Linked DNA regions of Arabidopsis thaliana. The protein of the gene in region 2 interacts with the protein of the main gene of each other region in a pairwise test. Each region holds a gene or a part of one and is shown on either strand. Other genes may lie near its edges.

Evidence for each region. Proteins that work in one complex are often made in the same cells at the same time.
Region 1: the proteins of AT1G32740 (region 2) and IRX3 interact in a protein complementation assay, tested with the Arabidopsis thaliana proteins (one large-scale study listed by BioGRID).

Annotation. Positions count from the first base shown.
Region 1 is NC_003076.8:5,734,610-5,743,549, reverse strand, and holds IRX3 (Cellulose synthase family protein), read left to right. Parts: upstream 1-2,049; 5' UTR 2,050-2,142; coding exon 2,143-2,217; intron 2,218-2,619; coding exon 2,620-2,815; intron 2,816-2,944; coding exon 2,945-3,223; intron 3,224-3,477; coding exon 3,478-3,571; intron 3,572-3,665; coding exon 3,666-3,932; intron 3,933-4,013; coding exon 4,014-4,359; intron 4,360-4,446; coding exon 4,447-4,710; intron 4,711-4,787; coding exon 4,788-5,000; intron 5,001-5,079; coding exon 5,080-5,293; intron 5,294-5,388; coding exon 5,389-5,585; intron 5,586-5,675; coding exon 5,676-6,029; intron 6,030-6,109; coding exon 6,110-6,691; 3' UTR 6,692-6,920; downstream 6,921-8,940. Other genes in the region: BBM (Integrase-type DNA-binding superfamily protein), read left to right, coding at 125-201, 284-1,008; AT5G17410 (Spc97 / Spc98 family of spindle pole body (SBP) component), read right to left, coding at 7,135-7,258, 7,388-7,527, 7,683-7,757, 7,834-7,896, 8,362-8,469, 8,581-8,706, 8,940-8,940.
Region 2 is NC_003070.9:11,841,657-11,848,444, forward strand, and holds AT1G32740 (SBP (S-ribonuclease binding protein) family protein), read left to right. Parts: upstream 1-3,003; 5' UTR 3,004-3,226; coding exon 3,227-3,279; exon of another isoform or gene 3,280-3,340; coding exon of another isoform or gene 3,341-3,360; coding exon 3,361-3,455; exon of another isoform or gene 3,456-3,527; coding exon of another isoform or gene 3,528-3,543; coding exon 3,544-3,800; intron 3,801-3,892; coding exon 3,893-4,426; 3' UTR 4,427-4,691; downstream 4,692-6,788. Other genes in the region: AT1G32730 (electron carrier/iron ion-binding protein), read left to right, coding at 181-268, 487-589, 692-1,300; HAF01 (HAC13 protein (HAC13)), read right to left, coding at 4,729-5,088, 5,223-6,410, 6,491-6,547, 6,630-6,731.

The DNA.
Region 1 (8,940 bases), on a different chromosome or scaffold from region 2:
ATAATCCATCTAGATATGGAACGAATACAGTGTTTCATTATTTTTTTTGATGTATACATAATAATTGTCATACAATACTATTAATCTAATCTAATTAATATTTCCTTTAAAATGGTTCCAAAAGGCATCACCAACATGGAAGGTGGCAAGCTAGGATCGGAAGAGTCGCCGGTAACAAAGACCTCTACTTGGGAACTTTCGGTACATTTTCCAATAAAATCTATATACTATAAGATATTAAATATACACAAATATATCTAAGTGAATCATACAAATTATGTAGGCACACAGGAAGAGGCTGCTGAGGCTTATGACATTGCAGCCATTAAATTCAGAGGATTAAGCGCAGTGACTAACTTCGACATGAACAGATACAATGTTAAAGCAATCCTCGAGAGCCCGAGTCTACCTATTGGTAGTTCTGCGAAACGTCTCAAGGACGTTAATAATCCGGTTCCAGCTATGATGATTAGTAATAACGTTTCAGAGAGTGCAAATAATGTTAGCGGTTGGCAAAACACTGCGTTTCAGCATCATCAGGGAATGGATTTGAGCTTATTGCAGCAACAGCAGGAGAGGTACGTTGGTTATTACAATGGAGGAAACTTGTCTACCGAGAGTACTAGGGTTTGTTTCAAACAAGAGGAGGAACAACAACACTTCTTGAGAAACTCGCCGAGTCACATGACTAATGTTGATCATCATAGCTCGACCTCTGATGATTCTGTTACCGTTTGTGGAAATGTTGTTAGTTATGGTGGTTATCAAGGATTCGCAATCCCTGTTGGAACATCGGTTAATTACGATCCCTTTACTGCTGCTGAGATTGCTTACAACGCAAGAAATCATTATTACTATGCTCAGCATCAGCAACAACAGCAGATTCAGCAGTCGCCGGGAGGAGATTTTCCGGTGGCGATTTCGAATAACCATAGCTCTAACATGTACTTTCACGGGGAAGGTGGTGGAGAAGGGGCTCCAACGTTTTCAGTTTGGAACGACACTTAGAAAAATAAGTAAAAGATCTTTTAGTTGTTTGCTTTGTATGTTGCGAACAGTTTGATTCTGTTTTTCTTTTTCCTTTTTTTGGGTAATTTTCTTATAACTTTTTTCATAGTTTCGATTATTTGGATAAAATTTTCAGATTGAGGATCATTTTATTTATTTATTAGTGTAGTCTAATTTAGTTGTATAACTATAAAATTGTTGTTTGTTTCCGAATCATAAGTTTTTTTTTTTTTTGGTTTTGTATTGATAGGTGCAAGAGACTCAAAATTCTGGTTTCGATGTTAACAGAATTCAAGTAGCTGCCCACTTGATTCGATTTGTTTTGTATTTGGAAACAACCATGGCTGGTCAAGGCCCAGCCCGTTGTGCTTCTGAACCTGCCTAGTCCCATGGACTAGATCTTTATCCGCAGACTCCAAAAGAAAAAGGATTGGCGCAGAGGAATTGTCATGGAAACAGAATGAACAAGAAAGGGTGAAGAAGATCAAAGGCATATATGATCTTTACATTCTCTTTAGCTTATGTATGCAGAAAATTCACCTAATTAAGGACAGGGAACGTAACTTGGCTTGCACTCCTCTCACCAAACCTTACCCCCTAACTAATTTTAATTCAAAATTACTAGTATTTTGGCCGATCACTTTATATAATAAGATACCAGATTTATTATATTTACGAATTATCAGCATGCATATACTGTATATAGTTTTTTTTTTGTTAAAGGGTAAAATAATAGGATCCTTTTGAATAAAATGAACATATATAATTAGTATAATGAAAACAGAAGGAAATGAGATTAGGACAGTAAGTAAAATGAGAGAGACCTGCAAAGGATAAAAAAGAGAAGCTTAAGGAAACCGCGACGATGAAAGAAAGACATGTCATCAGCTGATGGATGTGAGTGATGAGTTTGTTGCAGTTGTGTAGAAATTTTTACTAAAACAGTTGTTTTTACAAAAAAGAAATAATATAAAACGAAAGCTTAGCTTGAAGGCAATGGAGACTCTACAACAAACTATGTACCATACAGAGAGAGAAACTAAAAGCTTTTCACACATAAAAACCAAACTTATTCGTCTCTCATTGATCACCGTTTTGTTCTCTCAAGATCGCTGCTAATCTCCGGCCGTCCCTATGGAAGCTAGCGCCGGTCTTGTCGCCGGTTCTCATAACCGTAATGAACTAGTCGTCATTCACAACCATGAAGAGGTTTTTCACATTTACTTTTTCTCATCACTTACCAAAGTTTTTTTTTACCAACGCTAGTAAAATATTATTGCATTTTTTCGTTTTATTTGGTTACTATTTTTTAAAAATTCGTATGTTTTGGGAATAAAAATATGATCATTTTTTAAAATCATCTTCTTATTATGAGACAAAAATTTATAATCTGTATTCTGTAGTTGCAATAATGTTGTAGAAAATTCATATCTTTGTTAGCAAACATAATAATTTTGTTGGTAATATTAAGTTGAGAAGTCAGGTTTAACCATTTTAATCGCTGTCATTTTTTTTATTATCTTTACTTCATTAGAATCTTTTTTTGTTGATTAGAAATTTCAGGTTTTATTTCGTCTTTAAGGAACTTAAACTTTTGTGTAATTATAACAGCCAAAGCCTCTGAAGAATCTAGATGGACAATTCTGTGAGATATGTGGAGATCAGATTGGTTTAACAGTAGAAGGAGACCTCTTCGTAGCTTGCAATGAGTGTGGTTTTCCGGCGTGTAGACCTTGCTATGAGTACGAGAGAAGAGAAGGAACACAAAACTGTCCTCAGTGTAAGACTCGTTACAAGCGTCTCAGAGGTAAGTTATTTATTAATCTCCCTCTGCTCTTGTGTTGTTCGACGAAATGCCTCTATGAAAATTTAAAAAGGCTGTTCCTTTTTTTAGTTTGAACTTGGAGAGTAATGATCTGTTTTTTGGTTTCTGAAGGAAGCCCAAGAGTGGAGGGAGATGAAGACGAAGAAGATATTGATGATATTGAGTATGAATTTAATATCGAACATGAACAAGATAAGCATAAGCATTCTGCTGAGGCTATGCTTTATGGGAAAATGAGCTATGGAAGAGGTCCTGAGGATGATGAGAATGGGAGATTCCCACCTGTTATAGCTGGTGGTCATAGTGGAGAATTTCCAGTTGGAGGAGGTTATGGTAATGGAGAACATGGGCTTCATAAGCGTGTGCACCCATATCCATCATCTGAAGCTGGTGAGTCTCATGGAAATGTTAACTTACATATAGATTTAAGAATGTCTCACAGTGATGATTAGTTAGGGTCATGCATATCTCCATATGTGCAAATAACATAAGTATGAGGCCTTCCAGCTTAATAGTAGATAGGGACATAGTTTCATAAACATGGACTTTGGGTTCTATTACATTCTTTCTATGAAATTCATCAGCAGACCCTTTTTCTAACAATACTTTCCTTTTTGTTTATGTGTGTAATTTTAATGTGGTAGGGAGTGAGGGAGGATGGCGGGAAAGAATGGATGACTGGAAGCTCCAGCATGGAAATCTTGGGCCAGAACCAGATGATGATCCTGAGATGGGACTGTAATGCCTCCACAAACATTTATCTAAGACATCAGTTTTGTATGATTTGGATTCATGCTTACAAAATTTTGGATTTGACTGGAAATGGCTGTAGGATCGACGAGGCACGGCAGCCACTCTCGCGGAAAGTTCCCATTGCCTCAAGCAAGATCAATCCATATCGGATGGTCATCGTCGCTAGGCTTGTGATTCTAGCAGTTTTTCTGCGGTATAGGCTCTTGAATCCAGTGCATGATGCTCTGGGATTATGGCTGACCTCTGTGATCTGTGAAATCTGGTTCGCTGTCTCTTGGATTCTTGATCAGTTCCCCAAGTGGTTCCCTATTGAACGTGAGACCTATCTAGATCGGCTTTCCCTCAGGTAAAATCCACAGATTCTCAAGTAGAAGTCTTAAAATCTATGACGTTGGAGTTTGGATGTAAATATTTTTTGTTTATACAGGTACGAGAGAGAAGGTGAACCAAATATGCTTGCCCCTGTAGATGTCTTTGTCAGTACGGTGGACCCATTGAAGGAGCCTCCCCTCGTCACATCCAACACTGTGCTGTCAATCTTGGCCATGGACTACCCAGTTGAGAAAATCTCCTGCTATGTCTCTGACGACGGTGCTTCAATGCTTACATTCGAATCTCTCTCGGAAACTGCTGAGTTTGCAAGAAAATGGGTTCCCTTCTGTAAGAAATTCTCCATAGAGCCACGGGCACCGGAGATGTACTTCACGTTGAAAGTTGATTATCTCCAGGACAAAGTCCACCCAACATTTGTTAAGGAACGTCGAGCCATGAAGGTCAGTGTATATCACCTGATCTAGTTATACCACCACCCATCTTTTCACTATAATCTAAACTTCATAAGTGAAATTGACATATGACAGAGAGAATATGAGGAGTTCAAGGTCAGGATCAACGCTCAAGTGGCGAAGGCCTCAAAGGTTCCTCTAGAAGGTTGGATCATGCAAGATGGAACACCGTGGCCAGGGAACAACACCAAGGACCACCCCGGTATGATCCAAGTCTTCCTCGGCCACAGCGGAGGATTTGATGTCGAAGGGCATGAGCTTCCTCGGCTTGTGTACGTGTCCCGTGAGAAGCGTCCTGGTTTTCAACACCACAAGAAAGCTGGCGCCATGAATGCCCTGGTAATTTTCTTGATCTGCCTTGGACCAAACAAGAAACTGATCTCCGTGTCTTGGACCTAACCTGATACTTCTGTCAGGTTCGAGTGGCAGGCGTACTCACAAATGCTCCTTTCATGCTGAACTTGGACTGTGATCACTATGTAAACAACAGCAAGGCCGTGAGGGAAGCAATGTGTTTTTTGATGGATCCTCAGATTGGAAAGAAGGTCTGCTATGTTCAGTTCCCTCAAAGGTTTGATGGCATTGACACAAACGATCGTTACGCCAACAGAAACACAGTCTTCTTTGATGTAAGACTCAATTCATATTTTTCCAACTTCTGGTCTAAATGAAAATGTACCCTCTTGCTTACACTCTTGTTTGCTACAGATCAATATGAAAGGTCTAGATGGAATCCAAGGTCCAGTTTACGTTGGTACTGGTTGTGTTTTCAAACGACAAGCTCTGTATGGTTATGAACCACCAAAGGGTCCTAAACGTCCAAAGATGATAAGCTGTGGTTGTTGTCCTTGCTTTGGGCGCCGGAGAAAGAATAAGAAATTTTCCAAGAATGACATGAATGGTGACGTAGCAGCCCTTGGAGGTAAATTATCCCAACAACCTTATAATATCAGTCCATTCTTGCAGTAGATTTCGTTTATGTTGGAATCTTGCGGATCTGATAGTGTTTTTTGGCAGGAGCAGAAGGTGATAAGGAGCATTTGATGTCTGAAATGAACTTTGAGAAAACATTTGGGCAATCATCCATCTTTGTAACCTCAACTTTGATGGAAGAAGGTGGTGTTCCTCCGTCATCAAGTCCTGCAGTGCTCCTTAAAGAGGCAATCCATGTCATAAGCTGCGGTTATGAAGACAAGACTGAGTGGGGAACTGAGGTAATAATACTGAATCGTAGAAATCACCTTCTTATTTGTGATTTAGTAGCTGGCCATTGTAAAAAACGTTTGTGTATCTCGAAATTGCAGCTGGGTTGGATCTATGGCTCTATCACAGAGGATATTTTGACGGGATTCAAGATGCATTGCCGTGGATGGAGGTCTATTTACTGCATGCCTAAGAGGCCTGCATTCAAAGGTTCAGCTCCTATTAATCTATCAGACAGGTTAAACCAGGTTTTGCGTTGGGCACTTGGATCGGTTGAGATATTTTTCAGCCGGCACAGTCCTCTCTGGTATGGCTACAAAGGAGGCAAACTCAAGTGGCTTGAGCGTTTTGCTTATGCCAACACAACAATCTACCCCTTCACATCTATACCACTTCTTGCCTACTGTATCCTTCCAGCCATCTGTCTCCTTACTGACAAATTCATCATGCCACCGGTTAGTAAAATTATCAGAGAAAAGCACTTAGAAGCTGCATCAAATGTGCTAACTATCTGTTTTCCCAATTTTTCTTTCAGATAAGCACATTTGCTAGTCTCTTCTTCATCTCACTGTTTATGTCGATCATTGTAACGGGAATCTTGGAATTGAGATGGAGCGGAGTTAGCATTGAGGAATGGTGGAGAAACGAGCAATTCTGGGTCATTGGAGGAATCTCAGCTCATCTCTTTGCGGTTGTCCAAGGTCTCCTCAAAATCTTAGCAGGCATTGACACAAACTTCACCGTCACATCAAAGGCAACAGATGATGATGACTTTGGAGAACTTTACGCATTCAAATGGACAACACTGCTGATCCCTCCAACAACTGTCTTAATCATAAACATTGTTGGCGTTGTTGCAGGCATCTCAGATGCCATTAACAATGGATATCAGTCTTGGGGACCTCTATTTGGTAAACTCTTCTTCTCCTTTTGGGTCATTGTTCATCTCTACCCATTCCTCAAAGGTCTGATGGGTAGACAGAACAGAACACCAACCATTGTGGTGATTTGGTCAGTGTTATTGGCATCTATCTTCTCTTTGCTTTGGGTAAGAATTGATCCTTTTGTGCTCAAGACCAAAGGACCTGACACTTCCAAGTGTGGCATCAACTGCTGAAGCAAAATCTTTTTCGTCTTCTGAAACTTTTTCTGTACTTTGTCGAGAGTGTTTTCACTTCTCTCTTTGGATTGCATAATTGGATTTTGTTTATTGTATATTAGCCAGTAAAACAGATGGATCTGGGTTTATTGTGAGCGAGTAATGCATTGTAAGAAAATTTGAACAAAACTACTTTTTAGTTACACAGTAAAAGATTCACAGATACTTCCCTCAAGAGACATGTAGTTGCAGTGAAAACCCACAAATCTTGAATGCAAATTTTTAACAGAGAGCCTGAGACTTGTTCTTATATCGTGGAGTTCACAAACAAAATAAAGAAACGACAACAAAAGCCTAAACACACGCACACATCTCATAACAACTTCTCAAGCTGAATATCATTTGATAACATTAAAAAACAAATTGAATTGCCTGAGTTTGTTTAGTTAAAGTCTCACCTCTTATTCTTTCGAAACACCAAGGATCCACTGGGAGAGATGAGTCAAGTATGGCTCAGCCTGGGAGCCTTTGCTCAAGACTGGTCCTAAGCTCTGCAACTCCGAGTTGAACTCCCTTTCGAAATTGCTGGTAGAACACGTAACAGACATATTAGAACAATACCGTGATAATGAAGTTCAAAAATTCTAACAGCAACGGCTTTTGTAGAGATAGTGTAGCCATTAGTTTGAAAAACAATTCCTTGTTACTACTTACAATATGGACTCTGTAACGGTTGTGTCTCTTATCATTGTCTTCTGTGGATGAGACTGGCTATTGATGTCGATAGACGATGATATCAACCACTGTGTGGCTGCAGCATATTGCAGACACACTGATTTCAACTTCTCCATTTTCTGCACCATCAGTAAATATGAGTGTAAAATATTGATAAACATTACACTATTATTAGTGCGTTCAGAATTTTTGCTCTTGTTGCACGAAAGAGAAGCACATCACACTGTTACATCTGTCCTGAGAAAACATAACATTTAGTGGAACAGCGACAAACCTTAAGGACGTCAGGTAAAAGAAGCAAGCATCCTCTCAGACATTTATCAAGAAAAAAGTCGTGATGTTGTATCACCTGCAAGATGATGGCACATTGTTCAATGAAGAATGTTTTCCCTGCAAACCAAAACAAAGCAGGTCTCTACACTTACCTCATCTACACTCCTTGTGGATTGTAGTCTATCGTGCATTACATGCCAATTTGGTTCGAGAACCTGAAGAGACATCCCACATAAAGACAAGCAAAAACAACATTAGAAAAACTTAGAGAGGCAATAGTTGCTAAAATAAACACCAAATCATCTCATAAAGAATTATGTCTTTATATACTTCTGGTGTGATTTCTCTCCTCTGTTCATTGATAGTGTACTTATTTCTCCAGAATCACGTTTTCAAGAATGTATTTCTCGAAAAACACAGTTGCAAGAAGTGCCTACATTTGTAAGTATGGTTTTTACGACTACAGAGATATCTGGATTCAATATACAGAGTGTATGTCAGCAATTCTAGAAGTTAGTTTTCCAGAGACTTACACCGCAAAATCACAATGGAAAACAGGATCTATGAATAGACAATCAGAATCTTTAAAAAACAAAAAAATATTCAGATTCCATTCTATTAGCAAAAAAAAATGTTTTAAAAAACAAACAAAACAAAACAAAAAGAACATTCAGACTTGCCTCGAATGTAAGATAATGTAGAAGGCTACTGATGAATTTAAGCATGCTACGGCAGAGAAGCGATGATCTAAGAATTGCTGTACCCTTAGAGTTCATAGACCGAATCCCCTGTAGAATTTTCACAGCAGTTTGTTAGCGAAGCAAAATGATTAAAATGGTTTTAGAAGAAACCAAAACTGAAACAAATTACAAGCTACACAATATTATATCAGTCCTTACTTGATGTATCTGCCAAGCACCACAAAGCTGGCGTTCCACATGTTTGCAATGAAAAAGAAAGCGGAAAATTAACTGGTACTTTGACAATGCTTTCTTTGATATGACAATAGATAGTGGCCATTGAACCTGAAACACAAAGCCACAACCAACAATCAAACAATTGAGTAGCCAATCGAATATGCATTTGTCGATTACTTATATAAGTATGAATGATGACTCTAGAAATGCATTAGTAGTTATATATAACAACCATTAATAGCCATTAAGCTGTGTTATTACTTATATATATCTCGACGAACAAAATAGTTCGAATCCAGATACAAACAGGTAGTTGCAGACAAGGCAAGAAAGGAGCAGACC
Region 2 (6,788 bases):
GTAAGTTTAGAGTTTAGTATTCTTGACTTCTATAGGGTTCGTTTGGTTGTCTCGGGACAAAAAAACCTATAAAGAACCATAAGACTGATTCTTGGAATGTGCTTGTGATTAGCTGAGAGATATAGAGATGTTATCATGGACTGTTTTGTGTTTCTTCTTATGTGTTTTATTTCGCTGCAGTTCTTAAAGTAGCTTCAACGTCTGGTGAGAAGACGCAGGCGCCAAGTACTCCATCTTCAGAGCAGAAAGCAACCGAGGGCACTCCCGGGTACATATATATAAACTAATTTTCTGTTTTGTTTGTGCTTCCATGGGCAAGTGAATCTTAGATGATAAACCGGTGTTTGCTTACTAATACTTTGATAGGAGATTCTTCAGCTTTCTTGTTTTATTGCACGTAGTTGATAGTGAGATGATATATTGGTCTTGTGGAACTAAAATATGGCGCTTTATGTTGACGTTTTCTTCTTTTGGAAATTGTTTCAGGAGTACCACTAGAGTTTCGTCAATCCGGCAACTTTCTAGCAACTTTGCTCAGTTTAATAACCTGAATGCTTCTTCCCGCCAGAGAAAACCTTTGACGATAAAGGTATACTAATTAAGACGTCTTTCATTGACTTTAGTACTCTATGAAAAATCTCCATTTAGTTGTTTTCCTCTTATCAGTTTTTGTTCTGTCTATATTCTATAGGATGCTCAAGCTTTAAACGAGTGGCGGTTTACAAAGCTAAAAGAGTACAGAGACAGAAACATTGAAGTAGAAAATGAAGCTTTTGATCGGTACATGAGTAATGTGAATTTACTCGAAGAAGCATTTTCATTTACATCTGTTCCTGATGAAGAGAGTCATGGAACAGCAGCTCCTGAGCAAAACAAAGAGGAAAATATTGTTTCAGAGCTTAAACTGAGGCTGAGATCGAACTCTGCAAGAACAGAGAGCTTTAAGAAGCGGATCGCGGAGACAGTCAAAGCCGGTTTGGTGAAGCTTAAGAGACTGGATTTAGGCAGTTCTTCAGATGATCAAGATGATATCAAAAGGCGGGTCAAAAGAAAGAAATGGGAAGAGAAAGGTTCAGCTTTGAATGAAATAATCGATAAACTGAACAAAGCAAGAACCGAAGAGGATCTCAAATCTTGCTTAGAGATGAAATCAAAGCTCTGTGGTCAAGTTTCTCCCACTGCTGCTTCCGAGAAGAACAAGATCTTTCCGGGTGTAGTCCGAAAAGTTGAGATGAGTGAAGAAGCACTTCAAAAAATCGCTGAGAATCTCCAATCTTTTGACAAAGTTGGAATGTTGTGAAGTCGAGAACATCCTGTGGATGAACTGAAAAGTTTGAGTGGCAAGAAAATTTCTAGATCCTTCGTGACCACGGTATTGTACAATGATCAAACATCCCTCAAAACTGATCCTGAAGACTCCAAAGACTCAAGAGATTCTTGTAAAGTAGTGTTGAGCATCATTTAGATATTAGAACTCAGCCATGGATAAAGCTGTTGATTCTATCTCATTGGATTTTTTTCACTGTGTGTTGTTGCTTTGTTAGATTTGAAATTGCTCATTGGATTACCTTTGACTTAATAAATAGTTGGTTTGGTTTGGTATTGGATAACCGCTCAGTCTAATTAGACCGGTTTGTTTTTTTGGAAAAAAATGAATCCATCCATCCATAGGCCACTTTCAACACGTATATTTGAAAACGACTAAAACCAAACTCTTAGATTCTAGTTTTGTTTTGCTGCCCCAATTCCACTATTGATCAAAACATATCCAAAAGTTTTTGTGGAACTAAAAAGTAAAAATAACGTTTAGTTTGTTTCCAATTTCAACCATATATATCTTATTCATATATGCATGTTGTGGTTGTCTCGTGTGTGTAGTATTCATTTACATTATGCAAACCAACTGGAAACATGTTGAATGGGTTATGGGTTGGTGGTTGGGACTTGAGGATCAAACAACTCAAATGAGCTCATTATAAGTTAAGCTCTCAATAATCATTAATTTATTTTTGTTACCACCTAATATTTCTACGAAGGGTTGGTGTAACAATTTTTAATTGTAAGATAATTGTGTAATCATTTTCAATATTAATTTTTATTATGTATTTATTTTAAAAAGTTATATAATACGTAACACATTTAGTACTTGGTTTTGGTAGCTTCATCAATGTACCATCCGAAGTTCCAAAAAATAAAAAAAAATGTCGATTTCACCGTTGGTGAAAAAGAAACTAAATTGATATGTATTATTCATTTTTTAGAAGAGATTATGGGTTTAAATCTGAAACTTCTTAGTTAAATTTTTAATTAATTTATTTATTTTGCATGCTTTATTATATATTTGAAATTAGAATCTACATGATTAATGATTTTTTTCTCAGATAGAATAAAAAATATATTTACTGATAAATTATTCTTTTACATCTTTCCGGATTCGCTACTAATGTGTTTTTGTTAACTTTAACCAGATTGCTTATGGATTATGATATATAGTATCCATTACTTAAAAAGTAAAAGAGATGAAAAACCAAGAATAATTAATGTCACCAAACTATCAACAACAACAAAAAGAGAGTGTAATATTCAAGATAAACGAATCCTATTATATAAAAAAAGGTGGGAAGAAGTTGCTGTCTAATGATGTAATTATGTTAACTAGTGTGCTAAGGAAAGAAATCAAGCAAGTCTCACACATACACATGTTATGACTTATGATTAGCGACAAGCATTTCATTTTATTTTATTTTTGCTAAGCAAACCTTTTGTTTAGTAAAATAGACAATGTGCAAAAAATTCCAAACTTCTTAAATTGAAAAAAATACTATATTTAAATTTACCTTTTTAAGTAAGAAATTAAAAGATTTTGTAGTACACTACATGTTTTAAAACAACCACTATCCAAACAAAAACTTGGTCACCGAATAAACTGTAGAAATATCGATTTCCGTCATTTAAATTCACTTTATTTTTGGTTGTTTTTTTCTTGGAATATGCAAGAGTAATGGCGTGGTTGAAGACACGAGAGAGAGAGAGAGAATCCTAAAGAAAAAGCCAAAGCATATTAAGAAGAAGAGAACCAAAACGAACAAACCCAACCCTAAAGAAACACTATTATTAAACCTATATTTATAGACATTTAAAGAGAGAGTGAAAGGTGCAGAAGAAAACAGAGACAGAGTTCAAATACCTTAAGATCACATCATCATATAGCTTTTGTATCATTAAAATGGCAGTTCAAGCTCAACACCATTCCTCCAATCTCCTCTTCCTCAATAAAAGGTTCATTTTCTCTCTGTAAATTCATTATTTGCTTTTAGTTTTGCTTATTGATTACGGTTTTATGTTTCTTTGTGTGAACAGAAACGGGAAAGAGAAAGAACATAGTAATTTTACATTACAATCACAAGCAGCTGGAGATTTTCTTGATCAAACCAATATGTTATTCAACAATGGAAGTTCGTAAAAGTTCTCTTGTTTTTTCCATTAAAATTTACCAAAATTAGGAGACAAAATGAGAATGTGTGTGTATGTCTCTTATTATAGGTTCTAATCAGAGAAAAAGAAGAAGAGAAACGAACAATCATCAGTTATTACCTATGCAGTCTCATCAGTTTCCTCAAGTTATAGACTTATCTCTATTACACAACTACAATCATCCACCGTCGAATATGGTTCATACAGGACTCCGATTATTTTCCGGCGAAGATCAGGCACAAAAGATTAGTCACCTGTCTGAAGATGTTTTTGCTGCACATATCAATAGGCAAAGCGAAGAACTTGATGAGTTTCTTCATGCCCAGGTTTTGATTTCGTACGAGACGATTTGGGTTACGCAAAAGTTTTGATTTTGTTCTCATCGGAAAAAGTGTAAAACTTTTTTTCTTTTGTATAGGCGGAGGAGCTACGGCGTACATTAGCGGAGAAGAGGAAGATGCACTATAAAGCGCTTCTTGGTGCCGTGGAAGAGTCGTTGGTTCGTAAGCTGAGGGAGAAAGAGGTAGAGATAGAGAGAGCCACGCGCCGTCACAATGAGCTGGTGGCACGTGACTCGCAGCTGAGAGCGGAGGTGCAAGTATGGCAAGAGAGAGCTAAAGCGCACGAAGACGCCGCCGCGTCGCTGCAGTCTCAGCTCCAGCAAGCCGTTAACCAATGCGCCGGTGGATGTGTATCGGCGCAGGATAGTAGAGCGGCGGAGGAAGGGCTATTATGCACCACAATCAGCGGAGTGGATGACGCCGAGTCGGTGTACGTGGATCCGGAGAGAGTAAAGCGGCCGAATTGCAAAGCTTGCCGGGAAAGAGAGGCAACGGTGGTTGTGTTGCCGTGTCGGCATCTGAGCATCTGCCCGGGATGTGACCGGACAGCTTTAGCTTGCCCGTTGTGTCTCACGTTGCGGAATTCAAGTGTTGAAGCTATCTTTTGCTAAATGGGCCTAATTCAAGCCCATTAGGTTGTTATCGTAAATAGAACTTAGTAGGTAACACAAATATAAATTTCATTGGTATATGATATACCGTATATCGAATCCACTAGCTATTAAGGAAGCCCTCTAAATTTTACAACAAAAGAAGTTTTTTTTTTTTTTTTTTACTTTTCATTACTTGGGATTCTTTACACAGATATGGGATATGGAAATGTTGCTATTCGTACAAAATAGTTAACTAAGCTAAGAAACCCATTTTTGGGGGGCCTAAAGAAAGGGTTACAGATTTCTATCTTACAAATTTCTCAGTCATTGGGATCTATACCTTTCTCTGCTTCTTTTAACTGATCTTCATAATCGTCCAACAAGTAATCACAAATCTCCAGTAACTGATCTGCCAAAGGTGGTATTCCTGGGTTACGCCCATCGTTGTAAAGATGAGCATTGTACTTTATCTGCCAGACATCGTGTCTAAACTGTTCTCGGTTTCTGTACTCTATCTTCCGTACCTTATCTCGGATTGTCGAGAGATCCATCGGGTTTTCCACGATATCAAGATAATCTGGAGCTTCCTTCTTGGATACCGGTTTCAAGAAGAGACGTGACACTTCTTCTTTTAGTCTTAGTGTGTCCACTATGCGTTCCAAGATGTTTGCTAGGCCAACCTGTTGGTAATTGAATTGAGGAGAGAAAACAAACAAAGGTTGAGGTTATGTAGACATATGAAAGCATGCTACGTGGCTATAGAGCATTTACTTCAACTGAACAAAGTGAAATATGGAAGCAAAGAGAATTTTACCTCTCCTTTTTTGCGTCGTTTTGGTTGAGGCGCATATTCTGCACCATCTCTTTCAAAGTCGGACACATAGCGGCTTCTGACGTTTCGACCTCTTTCTGACAATCTTCTATCGTTTTTTCGAGGAGGATAGTCTTCTAGATACCCTTCTACAATTTCGGGTTGCAGTTTCTTTTTCTTCTTTTTCTTCTTGGCTTTTTGTCGTTCCTCTTCCTCCCTCTCACTCCGTATTACCTCTTCGTATCTTCTGATCTCAGCTATCTCATTGGGTTCTTCTGATACACTCATATCATCATAATCTCTTCTCGCCCTTACTTCCCTATGTCTTCCCGTACTTATCTCCTCTTCTTCCCACCATACTCTATCCTCTTTCGGTCTCCGCTCCAGAGAATTCTCTGACAATCTAAAGCTCTGCTGCCTCTGAAAACCCGCCAGTTCTGCCATTCTTTTTGTTTTCCGGGACTCAAACCGTGGACTCTCTTCAAGACTACTCATGTCATGATCATTCATCTCTTTCGAACGTTTTATAACAAGTTTCTTCTGAGGCTGTTCTCTTTCTGTCGGTGGTCGTATCACAAGATGAGGCCTACGCGATTCAGCTTGATCTGTGTCCATACTTAATGATGGCCGCGGGATAGAAATAGTGTGCCTGCTTGAGGCTGCCTGATTTCTCTCTGTACTAGACAAGGGTTGTCCAGAGACGGAAGGCTTGTGTGATTCGCTCTCCCCTCTCTCTCTGCTAAATGTAGGCATCAATGAATGTGAACGTCTCTCAGATTCACCCTTTGATTCTTTAGGTTTTGCCTTACTTGAAATCTTGAGTTTGCTGATCTTAGATGTGGACTTAATCCCAGTGTCTATGTCAGACACCACCGCTTGCTCAGAACTTCCTGGAGCTTCAGAAACAGGTTTATCTGACAAATCTCCAGCGGGGATACCATATCTAAACTTCAGAGGGAGACCCCCAGTTTTGGAACTTAACTTATCTCCCTTCAGAGCTTCATCTACAGAAGTTTTCATTGCACTTTTTGGCGCAGCTTTGCTGTTCTTAATAGGTTTCAGCTTGGGCAGACCTGATGGTTCTGAAGAACTCGGTTTTCCGGCAGACTTATCCATATCTATGCCTTCGGGTTGTGATTCTGTATTTTCCCTGTATCTTGGGCAGTGTTTATTGGTTCTCATGTGCCCATGCTGGCCATGAAGATAATATTAAACACTTTTCTCTACGAAGTAAGTTTAGATTCAAAATCTAGTCTAATAAGTAATTATACCTGACCACAGGCTCCACAAACAAAGTTCTCTCTCGCCGATTTCTTTTCCTTGAATACCTGGTTTAGACCAAAAGAACAGGCAACACCTCAGAATGACCATAAACTAAATTTTATACATGCTGTACTGATTTGATTGTACCTTTAGGTTTTCGTTCAGTATTTTGACCTTCTTCAACTGGCCCAAAGAATTGCTGTTCTCTTTTACCTGTTTACCTTTGGGGGTCTTTATAATAGAATCAACCTGCCAATGAAGATACGAGTTGGTCAAGACATGCAAGACATCATGGTTTGACACAAT